3 linked regions of the Astyanax mexicanus genome follow. The protein of the gene in region 2 interacts with the protein of the main gene of each other region in a pairwise test. Links are inferred from orthologs where the notes say so. Each region holds a gene or a part of one and is shown on either strand. Other genes may lie near its edges.

Region 1 (7,739 bases), on a different chromosome or scaffold from region 2:
ATTTAACACTCACAGAACAAGTTAAATTAAACGGAATACTAGTGAAAAACAGAGTAAAAGAACATAATAACAAGAATGTAGCTGTAGCCAAATGGTACATAGTGTAACACAGATGATTTCATTTCATTTAATTTCAAATTTAAAAAATAAATAAATAAAAAATAAAGGTTTGAAAAATAAACCTCTAAACCTTACTGCAAATTAAAAAAAAAAATAAAGTGAATTTTATCCTGTTCTTCATTACACATCATTCTTTACTTTTTTTTAATTAATGATAAATAATGACCAAAACAATTTGAAAAACAAAAATACCATAACTTATTCTGTAATTTTACTATAGCCAACATTGGGTGATCAATGCAATCACATAACTCAGCAAACTGCAAAACTCATTAAAGATCAGGCAACTATTGCACACCATGCTACAATAAAATATCTAAAAGCTAAAATATATAAAAGGATATATCTCTCGTAGATGGTGCGGGCTTTGTCCACCTCCTTGTAGCGCAGCTCGAAGTTGATGTACGAGTGCCAGGCCTGTTCTTCTGGCTCCCACTCCATCCAGCGTTCAAACACCTGCCTGCAGCCGGCTACGTTCCCCAGCATCTCCTCCATGTAGCTGTATTTGTACCTGTAAATTCATTCACACCAAAGCTCACTACATGTAAATTGAAGCCAGTTTAGAATAAATGTTTTCAGTCTTCCTGTAGCAAATGTTTCTCTGTCAAAAAATTGGACAACAGAAGTGTTATTACCAGAACTGGTTGACTCTTGGCAGGATGGTTATGGCTCGGTCCCAGATGTTGCGAGCATGGTTGACCTGGCGACTCTTCATCTCCATTTCGGCATACTTCAGCCACAGTGTGACATTGCGGTGATCTACATCCAGCGCTCGCTCGTAAATAGAGCGAGCTCTTTAAACATGAATGACAGAAACAAAAGGTTTATTTTCATGTTCTTGAACATAAAAAACATGCATTTAAATATGAGTCTAACAGAATGATTAATGATAATACCTCTGGATTTCTTTCAGACTCTCCTCCCATTGTGCGTACTTTATCCAGTTGCTTATGACAGTCCTGTTCTTTCTGATATGGTCTTCAAATCCCTTTTGAGGTGATAAGAATATTGGTGATGGTTTAAACAGGAAGGTAAAATCAATGACTTTGTTAAAACAGATTGTTAGATTTTAACATGAAGCACGTTCTCTTACCTTGCGTTTTCGTAACTTGTAGTCATTTAACTCTTCTTCATCAGTGATCTTCTGTTTGGGTGGTGGAGGAAGAAGCTCGAGTTCTCTCTCCTTGGCTTCTCTCAGAAGCTGCTCAGCAGTTATCTGCACCTCTGCTGGGGCTTTATTTTTCACCTGTGGGAGCAAAAAAATGGTTAATTAAGCCACCAATGTTATGACATACTGCTAAAACTTAACACATAATATCCCATTTATTAATTATTTATCTATTAAAAACGACAAAATTGAATATTGTACTATATATATATTTTTTTATGAGTTTAAATTTAAAACACACTACTTTATATAGTCAGGTAAAATGCCATACTCAAAAACTGAACAGGATAAAACACTCTGCATTATATTTTAGAGTAGATAAGCTACACAACCACAATTACAATTACTTATCAAAAACATTTTTTCTCACTTTGAATGGTGTCCATACAGATATGCCATCACTATTATTTCATCTGCACTTTGGCTTAGTGGTTACCATGTTCATCTCCCAGCACTGGGGTTTTGGAATTAAGGCCCTATCTGGATGGAGTTTCCAGTTCAAAACATGAAGTGTTTCGTTGGTGTCTGAAAAAGCGCTGTATGTGTGTAACTTAATTCATTAACTACTATTTTTAACTACACACTATTATACAGTTAGATTCCACCAGCGGTACAGTGTTGTACCTTGCAGTTTGTCATGCCAAAAATATTTATCTATGTATGCCTTATCTGAAATTACCTATAAAATAAAAAATGTATTTATATTATTATGTATTATTTAATCTACGCATGCAGAAACTCAGATTTTCCATACGATACGAACACTTATTCACGATACACTAAAATGTCGATATATTGTGAAGCTCTACTTGCAGTATATGTTTTTTTCTATAGTTTTATACTCTAGTGTTAAAAGTTTAATACTTATTTGTTCCAGGTAGATATCAACACATGGTGGGGCTCCTATTACTGGAGGTTCAATTCCTATCTTCATTTATACAGAAGCAAGCTAGTTTCGAGTCTGGGGAAAACATACTCCAAAACCTAACTAGCTGCTACATTCTGCAGCCAGTGAAAGATAGATTTGCTGGACAATGAATACATACTAATGATAAACTTATGATAATGGCTCAAATAAGAGCTTAAAGTTATTGTGTTATTGTGACAATTTGATTAGCTAGCTAGCTTAGCTAACTACAGACCACACTCAACGGCAAACTTAGGGCTGTGCTCCAATTCGCCTATTTGAGTTCTAAGTAGGATACTTATCAAGTGTGTAGAAGTGAAGAAGAATGTTTCGCTGCACTTCAGCGGCTAGTACGTTAAACAACTGACTTAATCTAGCTTATTTCAGTTCAGCTCACGTCGTTGTTCCCAAGCTACTTAACGGTATGTGTGTACGAGAGTGTTTAGCATATTTAGCTCCGGTGAAATAGCCAGCTAACGTTAACTACCAGCTTACAACTGGTCCTTTCCCACTTTTGTTTTCTAGTTAGTGTGCGAGTGTGCAGTGCGCAGACCCTCCAATTGGTACACGTCCGTTAGCAACGTTAGCTTATCCTAGCTTATTTAGCTAACCAGCAGGTTTACTACTAACAGACACTAAAACTCACCTTGGCCACTTTGGGTATTCTCTGTTTCCCAGCAGCGGTGGACGCCATATCTGCAGAATACCTGACACCACAAAACTACAAGAACTCTGAGAGAAGACCAGGCTGTAAATATATAAACACAGAGAGCTTCAGCTAACTGGCTAACACTCTTCCACCATGGCCAGGGCTTCCGCCATTACGTTCGTCTACAAAACGGACGTCCAACGTAAGACGGAAACGTGCATACGTCATGACGCATGGTTGCCATGACAACAGGACGCCCAGCGCTAAAGTGGTTTTGAACTGGTTAGTTTGGATTAATTTACTCAGATTGTGTACATTTCTTTGCTCTTTTGGGTGAGTGACTTTCTTTCTGTTGAATTATCTTTTTACTATTTATTTTTCCTGACAAAACGACATTTTTTAGCTCAGAGAACTATAGGAGAATATAGTACAACCAAATGTGCAGGACATTTCGCTTTTAGGTCGAGTTGTGCTACCCTCTCAAACAGTGCTACCCCAGTGTATATTTAAACGTAAGAATTGTAAATACTCTCGGTAGGATTTGAAACGCCTAAATCAATAGTTATATCAGGATCCATTTAATGGTTAATCAGAGGTTTTGTTGCTCACATAAATTTGGTGCTCACATAAAATTTCCGCGCATGCGCACTGGTGTTAAGAAGCACATTTCGACACGTAGCACAATTCGACAGAACACCGCACAAAAACACTGCAATGTCCGAATGAACGCTGTATATAAACAAACAGAGCTGAGGGAGAAAGGATAAAATAAATGCACGCATAATTTTTTGTGTAGATAAATTACTAAATACGTTTTGTCATAAAAAGTACACACTTTAAATTATATCAGGGATCTATTTTCATATTCCCATGCATGAACATTTATTTGGGGCTGTTTCTGCATTTATTTATTTATTTAATTATTTACTTCCACATTTATTTATATGTGTATTTATTTAATCTCACATTTCTTCATTTATTTGTTTATTTTTACCTTTGTATTGTGGCGTGGAAGAGGAAGGAAGACCCGTGAGACTCATGCTGAATGCTCAACAGCTCCTTTATTGAACTGGCTTGCCACTCACTTACAGTCTTTAACAAGACTAGGAGAGCTAAAACCATACCCACAGAGCTCAAACAGCCCAAAGGCCACCAACACAGCTGTGTGTCTCCCAGATGGCAGATCCAGAGTGGTGCCCACCCTCTCTGCATAACCCCTCCCAAGGGAGATGCCCCACCCCTGTCATCCTCACACACAGGAGAACAGAACATGCCTGCAGGCAGCCACACACACAACCCAGAGCCGCCACATAGCCCCCCTCCCAAGGGTCAGCCGTCCCGGCGACCCCACCAACCCAACACAAACCCCGCGTACAACAGAACATTTTTTTATTTTTTATTTTTATTTTTTTACAATCAGTCGCAAACAAAGTCATTAAGGCGGGCGGGCGGCCTCCGTGCCCGCGGCGGCCTGGAGGGGCCGGGCACGGCACCGCCTGCCAGCGGCTCCGAAGAGCCAGAGTTCAGGTCAGGCACGAGTGCAAGGCCGGCAGGTTCCGCACCACCATCCACAGTGTCCGACAGTCTCGGCCTATAGGGGGCCAGCCTATCACGGTGCACAATCATAGTGCGTCTGCCCCACCGGATCTTATACACCAACTCCCCCAGCCTGGACAGCACCAAGCATGGACCCACCCAGGCCGACTGGAGCTTCGGGCACAGTCCCTTCTTCCGCTGAGGGTTATATAGCCAAACCCTCGCCCCCACCGCCAACGGGTCCCCAAAGCAGCGCGTGTCGTACACACGCTTCTGCTTCTGTCCGGCAGCAGACTGGTTGGAGCGCGCTAGACGGTTTGCTAATTCCAGCGAAGACATAAGGTCCGAGACAAAAGTGGGCGTGTCCGAAGCGTACCCGCCCCCGTCAGGAGGCGCCCCAAAAGCCAGGGAGACCGGCGTCCTCAGTTCGCGCCCGAACATAAGCAGAGCCGGCGTGAATCCCGTCATCTCCTGCACAGCGGAGCGACAGGCCAGCAGCACTACCGGCAGGTGCCTGTCCTAGTCACGCTGGTTCTTGTCCGACACCATGGCCAACTGCGCCGCCAGCGTGCGGTTAAAACGTTCCACCAGTCCGTCACTCTGCAGATGAAGGGGCGTCGTCCTGGTCTTATGGATTCCCAGGATGCGGCAGACCTCCGCCATGACCTCCGACTCGAAATTTCTCCCCTGGTCGCTGTGCAGTTCTTCCGGAACCCCGAATCTGCAAAAGAACTCCCGCACCAGGATATCCGCAGTAGTGACCGCCCCTTGGTCCGGCACCGCGTAGGCCTCTGACCACTACGTGAAATAGTCCATCACCACCAGAACAAAGCGATTTCCAGAGTCCGTCACCGGAAAGGGGCCCAGCACGTCCACGGCCACCCGCTCCATCGGGCTGCCGCACTGGTAAGGGTGAAGTGGGGCGCGGGGCGCCCTCGAGGGGCCCTTCTTGGCAGCGCACACGTCACAGCAGTGCACGAAGAGTTCCACGTCGGTTCTACACCCAGGCCAATAGAAGCGTTGCCTCAGGCGCTTCAGAGTCTTGGTGACACCAAAGTGCCCAGCCCCAGGTGACCCATGAACTCCCCGTAGGACCGATCCCCTAAGCGCCCGTGGTACCACCACCTGAAAAACGCGCCGCCCGTTCGCCGGATCCTCCCAGGTATGGCACAGCACGCCGTCGGACAAAGTCGGTTCCGTGCGCCAAGACATCATCCAAATAAACGACGCAGCACGACCGCGGAACCCCACATAAAACACGCTCCATAAGACGCTCAAAAGTAGCCGGCGAGTTACACAATCCGAATGGAAGCACCGTGAAATGCCATAGGGCTGAGCCGAGCGAGAAAGCGGTTTTCTCCCTATCCCCCGCCGCGAGGGGCACCTGCCAATATCCACTCCTCAGGTCTAACGAGCTGAACCAGGCTGAGCCAGACAGCTGGTCCAGCGTATCGTCGATCCTGGGGAGCGGGTAGGAGTCAAGCTTCGTGACAGCGTTAAGTCGCCGATAATCCACGCAAAAGCGCCAATTTCCATCCTTCTTTTTCGCAAGGACCACCGGGGACGACCACGGGCTGCTCGAAGGCTCAATAATGCCCGTACTCGCCATCTCGCGGACTAACTGCTCCGCCGCTACGCGCTTTGCTAACGCCAGACGGTGCGGCCTCAGCCTGATGGGCTGGGCGTGTGGCCACGCCCCCCGCAGCGCCAGCACTCCAGTTGGGCATCAGACTGGCTCCGACCCCACCTCTGCGAATCACGGGCAACCGGCGACGCCCCCCACGGTCCAGGATGGCTTGAGAGGATGAGTTCGGACCGCTCCGCCACCTCCACCGCGGACTCCAGGGTCTGCGGGTCGGCCAGCCTCACGTGTTTGCGCAGCTCGCTCGGCTCGAGGGCGCGCAGAAAGTGATCCAACGCGAGCCTCCTCTGGGCCGCTCGCGGAAACGTTGGGTAAGTTTGGCGGGTTAGCAGGGCCATCTCCGATGCCAGCACGCCCAGTGTCTCTCCCTGCTGTCGGCGTCTGTCCGCCACTAGCATTTTGGCGGCCGCCTCTGACGGTTGGCGGCTGAAACGTGTTCTCAGCGCCCGCGTCAGTTCGGGCAGCTCGCAGCGGCACTCGGCGGGGAGCTCGATCAGTACCCTCAGCACGTCGCCCCGCAGCGCCAGGCAGAGGTTGGCTGCCGTCTCGGCGTCCGTCCAGCCCGCACCGCCCGCCACGATCTCAAGCTGAGCTTCGAAGGCTGTTCAGTCAGCGCTGCCGTCGGAGAGGGTAAGGCGGGGTTGAGCCGTGAAGCCCGCCATCCCGGAGGCTTGCGCCGCCATCATCGCGCCGTCCGTTCCGCGAGTCGGCGCCGCTGTCCTTGCGCCATCCGCTCCGTGAGCAGCTGAGCAGGCGTTTCTCAACAAGAGGAATTTCGGCCTGAAATCGCTGCTCTGATTTTCGGTTCCTACTGAAGATTTATTCCGCCAGCAAAACGGAGAGAACAGAACTGAACTGAGCTGATCTGAGGTAAAATACTCCACTACACCAGCAGCTACCCCACTATAGTACTATCCTTACAGAATTACCTTTTTTTAGAAAACTATATATTAAAACTGAGGAAATTATTTATTAAATTAACAGATTTATGACAACTAAAGAATATTTTTTTTAAATTAACAGAACCTTTTATTGAAACAAAGGGAATTATTTATTAAAGTTAACATAACGATTTATTACAACTGAAGAAAGTATTTAATACATTTAACGTAACGATTTATTCAAACTGAGGTATGGAATTTGGAACGATTTAGTTAAAACTGAGAGAATTATTTATTACATTTTACAGAAAGATTTATTAAAACTGAGGGAATTATTTATTAAATTAAGAGAAAGACTGTTTATTAAATCAAGAGGATTATTTAATATATTTAAGTAAACATATTAATTACATCCAAGGAATTATTTATTACATTAAGTTAACAATATTTTAAATTATGGACAAATATATTTATATTATATAATATATTGTAAGAGAATGATTTACTACATTAAGGAAAATAATTTATTATATTTAAGTAAACCCATTTATTGTAATATGAAATAATTATGTTAAATAATTGTACTTAATAATAGTTATAAAATATATAAAGATTTATTGTTTGTGAAACGTCTGTACGACTGTTTATGGTTTAGGAATTGTGTAGATTGGCTGAACCCTTGTTTCTGTACGTGCCGTATTAGGAAAACGCCCACCAGCGACAGCTCGTTCTGAGTGAGACACGTCCACAAGCGACTCATCGCCTGTTGCACAGGCGACACAGAGCGATTTTATCGCGTTCGGTGTGAACGTACAGTAAGCCGGACGACGCGGCAC
Region 2 (6,970 bases):
TGCAAGAGTTACGGCAGAACAAATGGTTGACAAGCTATAGCTGGCCATGGCAGGAACATGTCTGAACACACAAACATGGTGTTGACTGTCAAAGGCAACCTGACTTTGGAGTAATGGAAGAATGGCCTGGTCTAATAAATCACATTTTCTTTTGCATCCTGTGCCTGATAGACAGGCACATATACATCAGTCACATTTACATCAGTCACATGAGAAAAAGATGGCAATATGATGCACACTGGAGAAGGCAAGCGGTAATCTGCTGGGAAACAGTAGCTAAATCCAGCAAATCCAGTCCAAGAACAGTACAAGGAACATCTCAATGTTCAAGGTGTTGACTTGAACTCTAATTACCCCACATCTCAATCAGACTGAGCATCTGTGTGACATGTTAGACAAACAATTCACATCTTACAGAAGCTCTTAACATTATGATGTCAGATATTAGGGGAGGGTTAAAAAAAATATATATTTTTCGAGTCAAAGCAATCTTCAGTTAAATGACTCGATATTGATTCACATAAACTCGAATTCAGTCTTTTAAAATCTTTTTATTTCCCCCATGTGTTTTTGTGTAAATCTTTAACACTCTTATTCTTTGATCTTATGTGATCAAACAGTCTTTTTACTGCACATCAAGTACTAAGAAGCTCAAGTACTAACTAATATTTTTAAGGTTGAGTGTTCCTTTTACATTTGCTACACTAGCTCACTGAAAATCTCTTTTTATATATAAACAAAACCTGTTATTGTAACGGTAATATCCCTAAACAAATTGATACTGAACTGGATTAAATCAAATAAACTAAATTGAAGCGATTTGATTCTGGAAATCTGTGGTGATACCCAGCCCTACCAGACCAGACCGTCACTGGACACATTCAGAAGTGTTGAACTCAGACATCAATAGTTCAGAACTGGTTTTGGCATCATTAAGAGCACCCACAAGTAATTTAAAATGTTAGTACTAATCAGTATATTTAAAAAAAGCCTTCAGCAGAACAACAAACAGAACACTCAGCACTGAGAGAGAACAAGAACAGATTTACCATCTAGCTTTACACTGTTTAGCTGACTTTCTATGCAGCAAAGAGGCAATCCGGGACCATTGATTTTTGCCATATTTCATTACAGCTGCTTTAAGGATCTCATCCTACAGAAAGATAACAGGGGAAAAAGAACAGATTGTTAAGTTCACAAATATTTTACAATGACTGGATACATTTTCTGGAATTAGTACTAATAAATCTTTTTAAGGAGTGGCTGTATTGTGTTTAGATTTGTCAGCTAGTTTGACAAACTTGATGCTTACCTAAATAACTTACTAACTACATTTACATTAAAGGCATTTAGCAGACGCCCTTATCCAGAGTGACTTACAACAGTGCTTCGCAAATAAATCAGAACATGATGGCTTCAGGAAGCTCCCTATGATTTCCTCTGTGTTCACTATTCAGCAGTTGCTAGATAGACTAAGGCACTCAAAAATTGGATATTATTTACTTTCCCTCAAGTTGTAAAAAAATGGGAGAGTACTGTTTAAATTTCATTTACGTTTTGCAAGCATCACCTGTTTGATTCCACACTCATTTATCACTTTGGAGTTTTGTATTTAGAGACTATAGTCTTTCTGTTTCTCTGCACACATTATTATTATTATTATCCTCCTTTTAAACAGTTTCCTCTTCAATGGTCAGGTATTAGTGTGTTGTGTTGGTATGAGCAGATCAGTCACAGCAGTGCTGCTGAAGTCTTTAAGCACTGTATGTGGACTTTTCTCAAAATCTCAGACTAGGGCTGCAACTAATGATTTAATCATCAGACTAGTCGATTAGTCAACGATTATTTCTGCCATGTCCTCCACCTCTAAAATTGATAGAAAAAGTTGAACATAAGATTTGATTTTGGTCACTTTTAGAGACTAAGTTGAGTGTAAACTATTTGAGTGAACCATTTACTCATCTTCCATTGCACTTATGTCCTCTGCACTTTGTGTAATGCGGTACTGTTGCAAATTAACAATTAAGTTAGTCGACAATGAAATGTGTAGTCGACGATTTTAAATAATCGACATTGCCGATTATGTCGACTAATCGATGCAGCCCTAAGACACTGAGATGATGAACCCGGTGGTATTTAAACACTTCAGTAGCACTGGCTTATCATAAATACACAAAAAATCAGTTGGTGGTCAGAATGTGTTGCTACTAAGACCTACAAAGGCCTCGATCACACTAACTAGTTTGCTGATTAGTCTAACGTTACTTAACGCCAGATCAGTGCAGTGTATTGTAGTTTGGTGTTTATCTGCACACGAGGACTAATTTTGGCTTTAAACAAGGCGAGTTAGAGCAGAAAAAACAAGCTGTGCAGTTTCAGGACTGAGGGCAAAAATGTAATGTTAACAGATAGATCAACAGTTAATATAACGTTAGGTTTTAACTCAGTCCAGAGGTGCTCAACCTGCACCCACACAAACACTGCTGCCACACAGCTAGCGTTAGCTACTTAACAAGTCCAGCTAACTAACCTAGCTAGCTAGCATGCTACCTGTATCTGTAAACTAGCTAGCTAGCTAACGAATACATGTTGCCCGTGTATTTGTGTGTCAGAAACACTGACTAATACTGTTTAAACCAATAAAATATAGTTATATGTACGACACAGCTAACGCTGTAGTAACTTAAACACGCTAACTTCACACTTCACAGCTAAAGCAGGGCTGCTAGCCTAGCATAGCCGAGCTCCGTTAGCTTAGCCTGTCAGCACCACACTGCTAACCCAGCGCTCACCTCAGTGTTCCTCCAAACGCCTCCTTTAATCATAATTCGCGGCATCTTGGCAGCTTATTCTTCACACCCGCACCCTGAACTATAAACAGCGCTGTATTAACAGCGATACAGGAGCTCCAGGAGACCCGGGGTAACTGCGGTGCGTCTCAGAAAGCAGAGCAGCAGCTAAAACACGGCCCCGCTAACGCAGCGCTGGCCCACAGCAAATGGCTTCTGTTCACTGGGTTGCCAGATTCGTGCTATTGACGTTAAAATCCCTATAATCCATCCAAGGGGGTATTCAATGTGAAGTTTTTGATTTAAAAAAGACAGACTTACCTCACACTAACTCACTAACTAAACAATATATAGAATACAATACATATTATATTCATAATATTATACTAATATTTTTTAAACAAGTAGAGGGAATTTAAAGTGTAGTTAAACGTGACACTTTTAATTACTTTAAATTATTAATACATAAAAAATAATATATTTGCACTCAATTAAATGACATATTGTTACATAAATAATATAACTTTAAATAAGGCTAAGTGCAGAGGCTTTTCCATATCCCTCAATTCAAATTCAAATTAAATGTGAAGGTTTTTTTTATGAGAGCAAAACTTACTCGCTAACTCACTCATATATATATATATATAATATACTATTTATATATATATAAATAATAAACTATATATAATAAACTATTTTACATAATATATATAATAGGTATATTTAATTACACACAAATAAAAGAGAAATTGTTACACAAATATAAATAATATGTATTTCAGTGTAACTTCAGATAAGCCTGAAAGTGATTGTCTAAGTATTAGGGGGTACATTTAGTAGCTGAAGTTTTAACTTGGCAAAACAACATTTAATGTTATATCATACAGCACTATATGTACACTTTTCCTGGCATAATGCACATTTTTGGTACAATTTAAAAATACAGCAAAATTTAAAGCCCCGAATATAGCAAAAATCTAATTACATTAATATTAAACATATTAAAATAGGATTAAATATGCATGATTTCAACAACAAATGTACGTTTACAATAAGTTTTTTTCTCAACATGGCAACCCTGTTTCTGTCTAGTTCCTATAAGTTTGTAAGTTTGTGAATGGCGTGCTGGAGCTCTGTACTGCCACCTAGTGAATGGAGTCTCCCACAGTTCTGACTGGCTATTTGAGCTGCTGATGCTGCTGAGCTAACTCAGTGTTTATCAGTCCCTGTCCTGGAGACACCCTGTCCCTGCTTTAACACACTTACTGCAAGTCTGATTAGAGTAACTGGTTTGTTGAATGCAATGCAAGTGCAAAAGCTTTCTTTTGTAATCAGGCATTTAAAAACCAAAGAGCTGGTGGTGGACTTCTGCAGGACCAAACACTCTCCTCCGGTGCCTGTGAACATCCAGGGCTCGGATATTGAGATAGTGAGGTCCTACAAGTACCTAGGTGTCCACCTTAACAACAAGCTGGACTGACAACACGGCTGCTCTCTACAGGAAAGGTCAGAGGCCTTCTTTGATGCCGTGGTGGCATCAGCCATCTTTTATGGAGTGGTCTGCTGGGGCAGCAGCATCTCCACCGCTGACAAGAAGAGACTGGACAGAATCATCAGGAAGTCCAGCTCTGTCCTGGGGTGTCCTCTGGACCCAGTGGAGGTGGTGGGAGACAGGAGGATGAGGACTAAGCTTAACAACATGCTGAAGAACCTGTCCCATCCCATGCACCACTCTCTGACAGCACTGAGCAGCTCCTTCAGTACCCGGCTGCTGCACCCACGCTGTGTGAAGGAGAGATACTGCAGGTCCTTCCTTCCACACGCCATCAGACTATACAACACACCACGCTCCCAGGACTTCATACAACCTACATACTACTCAGTGTAGCTGTAATGCTTACCGTGTGCAATATCCATCTCACTACGAGTACTGTGATCACCATTTGTGCAATTTATTTAATGTGCAATATTTTTTTCTCACTTTTGTTTTTATCTATTATTTATTTGATATTTATTCACTGTTACTCTTGTGCAATAATACTGGTCCACCCTACCATAATCATATCTCTATGCACTAGATGTATATATATTTTTTCTTTTACTATATATAATTTTTTTAACTATCTTTATATATTTTCCTGCAATAGTTTTTTTGTATATATAGATTTATCATTATTTGTATTTACCTTTTCCTGACCTGTTTCTCTGTCCTTTACTCTGCACTGCTGTAACATGGTAAATTTCCCCATTGTGGGATTAATAAAGGATTATCTTATCTTATCTTATCTTATCTTATCTTATGGCCACTTATGGGGGATTATCAGCAGTTTTGATCTGTTTATTATTTTCTCACTGTTCATCTTTAACATATTCCACTGTAACTGATTTACAGTCTCCTAAACACAAGTTTCAACACACCTTTCATAGATGCACAAAAAATGCACATTGAAACCTTTATCAATGTGAACACAGATGTTCACACGATTAAATTCAACATTTCTGATGAAAATACAAATAACTCCCCTATATATGAATGTGTTTTAAACGTTATTAGCGAGTCAGCATATGAAAAACCTCTTTGCTTCTGTGGGAAAAGCTGCTTGAGAAAATGCCAAGAGCTGTATGAAAACATGATGGCTTCAGGCAGCTTATCCAGCAGTGCACTGCCTCTGTATTCCTCTGTGTTCACCATCCAGCAGCTGCTAGTTGAACTAAGACACTCAAAGTGGATCTTGTTTAGTGTTCTTCACATTGCACAAAACATGGGAGAGTACTGTTTCCAAGTTAAAAACGTATGAAAACAGTTTATATCAGCAGTGTTTCTTATAAAATACTTCATACACCTGTCAAGCACAACATTCAAATATGATTACCTGTTTGTTTCTACACTTTATAGGTCTTTATTTACAGATTTTAGTTTTGTATTTGTTTCATTACATACTTTATGATCCTCTTTTCACCCTGTTTTTCAATGGTTAGGATCCCAAAGGAGAGACAACCACAGAGCAGGTGTGTTTGAGTAGTGTGTGTTTTAATACTATGAATGAATCATACACAGCAGTGCTGCTGGAGTTTTTAAACACCCTGCCTACAGGGCAGTCGGTGGACTATTCTCAGTTCTTAGACACTAAGGTAATCAAGATTATATCTGGATAAGGCCATACCACAAAAAGGCAACAACAATTAGAATATGATGTGATTCAATCAAAATTCATTTGACTATCAAGTGGAAATGCATGTGGTTAAAAATGATCTGATCAAGATACAGTGCAGATACAACCCCAAACCGTTATCATGTCACATGTTTTCAGAACTTTCTTGGAACTTTGTTTCTGTAACATTACAGGCTAACCTTCCTGAAAACTTTTTAAAATGTTGTTTAAAATGTTCTTAGAAAGTTTACTGTTAGCTGGGAAGTCACTTGACAAGGGTTCTAATAACATTCTAATAACATTATGATGCAAACCACTATAATGTCACATGTTTTTAGAACATTCCTGAAACATTATTTCTTTAACATTACAGGTTATCCTTCCTTGAACCATTTTAAAATGTTGTTAAAGGTTCTTAGAAAGTTCTCTGTTAGCTGGGAAGTAATTTGACCTGGTGTAAACAGGGTCTACAAGATTGATGTGTGCTTTAGAAGAACCCAAAACTCAGGTTTGGTTTCTGACTTCTGTGTGAACTTTAGTGACTGTATTGATTGTTTCAGTCCCACCAGCAACTCTTCTGATTTACTTTAATGAAGGATTGATTAAATAAACTAGGTACTGGACGGTAACTGTAAACACTGGAGTTCCTCAAGGAGAGCTTTGAAAATCGTTAAGTACACACACACACCCACACACCCACACACATACGCCCTAACACACTCATCAATACATATATCTTCTCTCTTATAAACAGCTTTAAACAAACTTTTCACCGACGAGTAAACTCAAATGTGCATCAGAGGATCTTACTAAATCTCTAGATAGTTCTATAGTGAACCAGTGAGAATGGCTAAGGGAGGGTGTATCTGCATTGTGAAAGCCCACCTGCCAGGGCCAGAACACAGATGCCAGGGCGAATTGGCGGAGGACAGACCTGCAGAGGAGCTTCAGCTTTAGGCAGTGTCCGGGTCACCATCACAGCTGGCAGCTGGGCGAGGGGACAACAGGAGCCCATTGGCTGGAATACAA
Region 3 (8,011 bases), on a different chromosome or scaffold from region 2:
GTGAAATTGAATACAGGGTGCTTTTCATTTTCAATAACAATAAAATGGTTGCAGTACGATTTGACTTCTTTTTAAACACTAATCAAAACATGTTTGCTAGCAATAACACTCAATTTAGTTGTATAGGATTTATTATACAATCATTTTACCACACTAAAGTGATTCAAATACATTTTTCCGTCCCTAAATGTGATTTCTTTAGATCTGTGTAGACATGTCAATTCCAATATATTCAAATCATATTGGAATCACCTTCATATGTTGTCCTAGATCAAATACATATCCAATTTGTGGGCTCTCTGAATGGCCAGATCCTGTTGTTTGTACAGGTCATTAGTTTGGGACCTGTGCCATGCAGAATTAAGTCCCTTCCAGAATCCAAGTCCACTTATTATTAAGAACATCACTTAAGGGAAGTCAGATTTTGGTGGGGATACAGAATTTGACACAACACCAGCAGTCTGGCTACCCGAAATCCAGTGTGCTTAAACTAATCAATGTATGCATCTGTGTTGTTTCAAGGACAAGTTCATTTACATTACAGATAAATACAATTACTTACATCTATGAACCTAAGCTGTGGAAATTGCTGAATTCAATCTCAACCAAAAATCGGAACTGATTACCGATTAAAATGACAAATCAGTCATGTACAGACAAATAAAAATAATAGAAATCTCTGTAGGAGGCTGGGGGATTTTGAAAACTTTAAAATGGTTCTGACTGAAAATCTGTGGCTCTGTGTTGAAAATGTCCAGTGATAACATTCACTTCCTGACTTCCTATTAAAATGATCCCTTAAAACCTTTAGGATGAAATTACATCACTTGAGAGGGACTCTCAGCAGGGACCGACTCTGTAAGTAACACTGTGGTAAACGAGAAACCACATGGATCTGAAAAAGCGCTGGCACAGCACAACCTTTTTCTCCTTTGTTTTTTTTTTTGTGTAAACAAAAAAGAAAAGATACTTTAGTGGCCCCTCAGCAAATCAAACCAGACTAAATGTTGTGTACATATTTGGCATACAGCTGGCAGGTTTGGACAATGGAAGCCCTGTCTGGAGCATATCTGCCTCACTAAAAGCTCAAAGTGGTCCAGAATGGCTCCCTTTCCAAGAAAGGATGCCTAACACAGGGAGCATTCAGCAGGGAGGTCGTGTTAGCTGCTGACCATGCTGTACGGCTGGAATGCCGAGCTTGCTCAGTGCAACCAGGCGCAATAATGCTCGAGCGGATCGTTCCCACAGTGACCGGGCCGACTGAGCACATCACTGTACTGTGCAGTGCTGTCTGGGATATTCCATCCTACTGCAGGAGATAAACATCATAGCACCTGGGGAACATAACAAATTATGCTCGACACAGAGGACATCACTGGACTCTGCTGTATGGTTAAATGCAGAGACAGCTGCAGCAAGTAACACAGTCCAACAGGTGCTGACATGGATGAAAAAGTGCTTGTAATTGGTTCACACATATGTGTGTATAATGCATAAAATCACAATGTGAGACAAGGCTCCATTATTATATCATCAACATTTTAGAGTCTGGTATACAGTATATGGACATGACCTCTATGATTTTTGCTGACATATAATGTTGCCTATCCTGTTTACTAAGCCTGAAAAGAACTTTTGTACAAACTATAACTTGTAAGAATGCGAGGAACCTATGTGTCAACTTATCAAAATAGTATTTGTTTATATTTATTTAGGATATTAAAGTATGTTTTATATTTCAATTCCAGTGTCTAAAAATTAAACATGCATTAATCTTTAAAATAGTGTAACTTTATTAGTAGGCTACTATATTATCATAATATCAGTGGCATAAAATGTTTAAAAGTAAAAAAAAATACAATCACATTCAACCTTTGTCCAAATATTTCATTCTGACTGGTACTTTCTTACGTATAAACATGTATATTTATATTATATTGATCCAGTGATTTGTTCTAGATTAGTATCACAGTAATATATATATACATATACAAATTGTATATATATATATATACACAAATATACATTCAACAGTTAAACCCTTAAACTGCATTTATCCATATTTGCAATGTCTTAAAATGACAATAATATTTAATGCAATTATTTTGGGGAAAATATCATCCAAAAATGAAATGTTATCACGACAGACCTATGTGAGACCAAATTTCATAATTCATAACTCTATTCAGCACCAGTAAACATTCACAAGCCTATTCTGACATACCCTGATGATGGCTTACCTTCATCTTGATGCAGCATAATCAAAAGCTAGTCCTTATAAAGGGAGGTTAGCTAACAAATTAATTAAGCTACCACTTCTAGTCAATAGACAAATGACTGGTCAGTACAGTAGTTACTGCTGTTATTTAAAGTTATTTAAAGCGTTTTACATCAGCTTAGTGAGATAATTAACACTGCATTTTGACATGCCAGTCAGAGTCAGTCTACTGCATAATCAGTAAGGCCTGTTTCAGTGAGCACTGCAGACTTTTAACACAACAGTGGCAGCTGTCGAAACCATCAAGTCAGTCATCCACAGCGTCTCAGTGCCAATTCATTAGGACACACCTATTAGCTAATTATCTCCTCCATTCTCTCCTCATAATATCAAGTCAATTGTTTACTTAGTTAGTTACGTTTTGCAAAAGTAATCCGCATCAAGTTACTTCATTTTAAGCAGCCCTCCTGCTGAACGCTATACCACAACAAGAGCTACAATGCAACAGATATTGCTGCACAACAAAGTTTTGGCTAGCCTCCACAGTCCAGTACCTCATTGAAGCCCTCCTGCAGCACGTCCAGCACATTTCCTCTGGATAAGGATGCGATCATTCTCCTGCCTTCTCATGGAGGCGAACAGCGAACACGTTATCCTCCTGATTCAGCGGGTCCGCTCTACACCCTCATCCCCGTAAACTCCGCAAACAAAGAAGCTACACAGTAAAGCCCCGAGGCCGGGCGATGGCCATATGTGCGACTGCAGCCACCGTTAGCTCCCCTACAGAAACAGGATACGCGGTGGACTGAGTTAGAGCTTCTGTACTGCGCATGCTCCACACGAGGCCACTCCGCGGTCGCTAGGCTACGGCCCCGCTTTACACTAGCAGGATTAACGCTAGTGCTGCAACTCTACAATAACAACGCTGTACAGCACTAAACTCCCGCCTGTTCATAAAATACTACTACTAATAATCTATATAGTATTAATTTAGCACGTAATAACTTGGAGTTATTTTGATATATTAAGTAAGTTTAAGATGCTCTAATTATTTTGAGATTTTAAGTCGCTATTTTGAGATGCTAAGTCACTATTTTGAGATGGTATCCCATTATGTTGAAATACTAAGTCGTTATTTTTTAGATATTAAGTCACTATTTTGAGATGCTAAGTTGTTATTTTGAGATACTTTCAAATTTTTTTGGAGATGCTATCGTCGTTATTGTGAGATGCTATCTTAGCATTTTGAGATGCTAAGTTGTTCTTATGAGATGCTCTTTTATTATTTTGAGATACTAAGTTGTTATTTTTAAATACTCTCAAATTTGTTTTAGATAATAAGTCGTAATATTGAGATGCTATCTCATTATCTTAAGATGCCAAATTGCTATTTTAAGATGCTAAGTCGTTATTTAAAATGGTATCTTATTATTTTGAAATATTAAGTTGTTATTTTGAGATGCTCTCTTATTTTTTTGAAATGCTAAGTCAGTATTTTAAGATGCTAAGTCATTATTTTGAGGTACGAAGTCGCTATATTGTTATTTTGAGTCGCTAAATTGTTATTTTAAGACGTTAAGTCATTATTTGAAGATGTTTTTTGTTTTTGAAAAAAATTCTATTTAGCAAATGCAAACTGTTAAAAAAGCTGTACACTGACTATTTTACAGTGTATTTAAGTGTTATATCCTCAAAAATGTCCCATGAAAATGTATAAAAAATATTTTTATGTAAGGGATGTACTCACTACACTACATCTCAGAATAATGACTAAGTATCTCAAAATAATAAGATACCATCTCAAAATAATGGCCTAGTATCTTAAAGTGATGATTTAGCATCTCAGAATAATGAGATAGCTATTTACTTAATAAAGAGACAGTACAGGCTGTTTTTTCTGTGGATTACAGCAGAAATCAGGATTCAGTCAACCCTGCTGTGTTTTTTGTGTTTTGGTAAACCTGTGTCCATTGAACTCCAAGCTTTCTGTTACTGGCTGACCTAAGGAGAACTTGATGCTGGTCTGCTGTTGCTGTTGCCCAGCCACCTTAGGGTTATCTGTGTTACCACAGCCTTTCTGTCAGTTTGAACCACTCTGTTTATCCACTGCTGATCTCTTTCATCAAGATAATTACATCTGCAAAAATACCACTTACTCAATGTTTTTCTGTATTGCACAATAAACTGTAGAAAGTTTAAGGAGATCAGTAACTATATTCTTATTTAAACCATGCCACAGTCAAAATCACAGAGATCATATTTTCATTAGAACATTGTCTAAAACTTCTGATCTGCATAATTTTATGCAACGAATGTAGAATTCACATTTGGGAAGTTTGTGCAAAGTGCTTAAGATCAAAATCAGATCAGTATTAGGCCTAATTCCTGCCCTTGATTTCTGCATGTAGTGTAAAATAGTCTCTATTTCATGTGACATACCTAGAACTAGAGCTACCTAGAGCTTCATAACAATAACCTTTAATAATTGCTGAGAGTGTAGATAAACTCGTAACATTTTTGTTACAATTTCAATTTCAATAACATTTATGGAGTTCCCTTGTTACAGTAGAGCAGGAAGCAGGAGGTCCTCAGTGTGAAAGGTAAAAAAAAAATCATGACCACTTAAACGTACCCTCTGTGTACACAACAGTAAAGATTAGTAAAGGGCATGCAGTTCTGTGCATGGCTGCTTTGTGTATGGCTCCACCAGACCACATCCTTCCTGTCAGGTTTAGAGCTTCCTGATTCAGCGTGTAGCCCGACTACACTGTATTATGCATTTCTGACCTAAATCAGGAGCACTAACAAATCAGCGATGTCAGCATATACTGGTAACTGTAACGTATCTAAAATTAAGTGTTTATCTGTAACATAAGATACAGTCATTAGGATTGCAACGATTGTCCCTGTAAATTAAACACACTGAGATTATATGCAGATGAGTTAGTCTCAAAGAGTCCTTTAATTGATGAAGAGAAGGTAAGGTTAGTTACTTACAGATCTCTCTACAGCCGAGGAGCGAGGCATATCACCAGCCTTCAAAATAGAGAGCACACATATCAGTTAAATAATAAAAGGTCACTTCTAAAAGGTCAGTTCTCTTATGGCATCCCACCATTCTATAGCTTTTGTTAAATAAGTAAAACTGAAGGAATATTTCATGTCTCTAAATATGTTTTACCTATTCTGACAGGGATAGATAACCTACTTATTGACTAGCTGATGGTATGTGGTGTGTAAGGGAGTAATCACAGTTAAAACTAGAGACAAAATAAACACTGCAGGTTCATGATAATGGACACTATATGTACAAACGTTTTACATAACTTTTTAACGGATGCATTCAGAAAACACTTGCATCCAGACAGTTGCACCCTTTACTGATACAGATGTGTAAATGCACACACACAGCTTGTCTAGTCCCTGTGAAGAAGTACTGCCAAAAGACTAGGACTCTATGGAGCAGGTAAAATAACACAAACCTATAGGTACCATGCATAATGCCTGTGGTTAGAGTCATATAAAGACTCCAGAATTAAGCTGTGGGGCAGTGAAGCAATGAAACTGTGTTCTTTGGATTGACGGTGCTCATCTACACAAATAGTTCTGGGATGAGCTGAGTGATCACCAAAACAACCTGTTGTCACAATTTTAACACTCTTGTTGCTGAATACAATCAGATCCTCACAGCAATTCTCCTAAATTTAGTAGAATGCCTTTAATGGACAGTAGATACATTTACTCCCACAAAACAACAGTGTAATGTTTATTGGTTTATATTTCTGACCATTTTTCTTTGTATATTTCTTTGAGGCTAAAATCGAAAACACAAGACTAGGTGTAAAATCTCATGATTTCATTTTGACATTTACTTTACAATTCTGCTTCTCAGAACCTAAAGTCCAGAGGGGAAAATATTTTTTGATTTTTAAAGAATATTGACTTTTTTACAGTATTGCCCAGCCCTTTTATACATTTAAAATACTGATGAAACCCCATGTTTTTTTTTTACTTAAACAAATGGACAAAAGTAAATAATGAAGACGTTTTACACCAAACAATCACTCAGGAAATTGAACTGTCGTTAAACTGACCCAGTTAAACTAGCTTAGTTAGTAGACCTATCTAGCAAACCAATTCGCTTAAAAATAAATGAACTAGTTTAGGACATTTAAGAGGTTTAACAGGTGCAACTAGGCTCTGAAACTAAAGCCGTTAAATCGTTAAATTATGCCAGCTGCATCCACTTTAGCTAACTAAGGCTAACAAAACAAAACGACGGGACTTTTGAGTTATTATAGACAGCTAGTTAGCTAGGATAGCTAATAACCCTAACGCTAACTAGCGTAAATCTTAAATAAGGTTAGCGGGTTAGCTTAACCAGCTTTGCTAGCTAACAACTAAACGTTAAAATAGTAATTTATCTAGTTGAGCCGCTTTAAAAGATAGTTAATCACCGTTATCAGTAGTTTAGTTAACTTACCGGGGGTTAATTCACTCTATGGAAGACAGCCAGTCTAATATAACAGAAAATTCCAGTTCAAGGAGCCGCAAAGTGCATTTTCCCTAAAAGTGAATCTCAGATCCTCCCTTTCTCTCTCAGCCCGTCTGTTTCCGTATCCATGACTACCAGAAACGGACCGGGGAGGGGGGGTTGGGGGTTTTGAGGGGGATGTGCTCCTATTTAAAACCAATGGAGTTAATTTTAAGTTTATATACACAGAATAATATATATATATATATATATATATATATATATATATATATATATATATATATATATTCTATATCTATGATAGGAGTAAAAGGGCCATCATGAGCCATACTATTAATAGAGGAGCATTATTATAATTTCATGTCTCACCATGTTCCAACACTTGAATGTCATTTATAATTAAATATATGGAGTTACACAAAAAATAAATCAGGAATAAAAAATTTAAGAATAATAAGGAAAAAAGTGTGTTGCAAATTCAAAGTAAAAAAAGAAAAAAAAAAAAAAAAAAAAATATATATATATATATATATATATATATATATATATATATATATATATATATATATATATATAGAGAGAGAGAGAGAGAGAGAGAGAGAGAGGGAGATACTTTAATTAATACTTTATTATTCCTTGCGCCTGCACTTATTTTTGTGTTTTTGGAGATGTCTATGGATTTCACTGCTAAAGTCTTTTGCTTCTGGAGTCTCTCGTTTGCTTTTGTCTTGTAGATTGCAGATTTTTATTTTTGTTTAAAACGTTTTGCCCAAAAATATCATTAACAATTTTACGTGGATTTTAACTGTGCCTGGACAAAATGATTGGCAAGACAGGGGCACTTCAGGGGGCCAATCAGATTTCAGCAGAGGCGATTGCCCCTTTGGCCCCGCCCCTGTAATGTAGAAAAGCATGGGCATGGGTGAGAGCCAGTCCAGGTGACGCTACCTCATAAAGCTGACTGAGAAAGTGCCAAGATGTGCAAAGCTAATCTAAAATATTAGATTAGAAGAGCTACTTTAAATAATCTAGAGTATATTAAAATAAGGGTTTTCTTCATAGTTTATTAGTCAATTAATAATCTACAATGCAGAACATAATTATAATAATTATATATAAAAAAAACATTATATGGTTGTAATGAAAAAAAAAACTGAATTTTGTTTGTGTTGTTTTTTACATACAGAAGGCCAAATGCCTTTCAATTCACAATGCAGTGATTTAAAATTGTTTCATAACAGATTGTATTAATATAAAAAAAAAATAGAAAGCTAAAATTGTATTAAGTAGTAAAATAA

What was found.
Region 1: the proteins of cdc5l (region 2) and crnkl1 interact in a two-hybrid assay, tested with the Homo sapiens proteins (2 studies listed by IntAct). The link is inferred for Astyanax mexicanus from reciprocal best matches to the Homo sapiens genes CDC5L and CRNKL1.
Region 3: the proteins of cdc5l (region 2) and dixdc1b interact in a two-hybrid assay, tested with the Homo sapiens proteins (2 studies listed by BioGRID and IntAct). The link is inferred for Astyanax mexicanus from reciprocal best matches to the Homo sapiens genes CDC5L and DIXDC1.

The regions. Positions count from the first base shown.
Region 1 is NC_064408.1:84,184,926-84,192,664, reverse strand, and holds the start of crnkl1 (crooked neck-like protein 1), read right to left. Parts: upstream 3,023-7,739; 5' UTR 2,890-3,022; coding exon 2,842-2,889; intron 1,367-2,841; coding exon 1,214-1,366; intron 1,109-1,213; coding exon 1,017-1,108; intron 915-1,016; coding exon 756-914; intron 632-755; coding exon 465-631; intron 1-464. UniProt on the Homo sapiens protein: Involved in pre-mRNA splicing process. As a component of the minor spliceosome, involved in the splicing of U12-type introns in pre-mRNAs.
Region 2 is NC_064421.1:16,939,460-16,946,429, reverse strand, and holds the start of cdc5l (cell division cycle 5-like protein), read right to left. Parts: upstream 3,007-6,970; 5' UTR 2,838-3,006; coding exon 2,793-2,837; intron 1,154-2,792; coding exon 1,050-1,153; intron 1-1,049.
Region 3 is NC_064424.1:9,367,939-9,375,949, reverse strand, and holds the start of dixdc1b (dixin), read right to left. Parts: upstream 3,023-8,011; 5' UTR 2,833-3,022; coding exon 2,773-2,832; intron 1-2,772. UniProt on the Homo sapiens protein: Positive effector of the Wnt signaling pathway; activates WNT3A signaling via DVL2. Regulates JNK activation by AXIN1 and DVL2.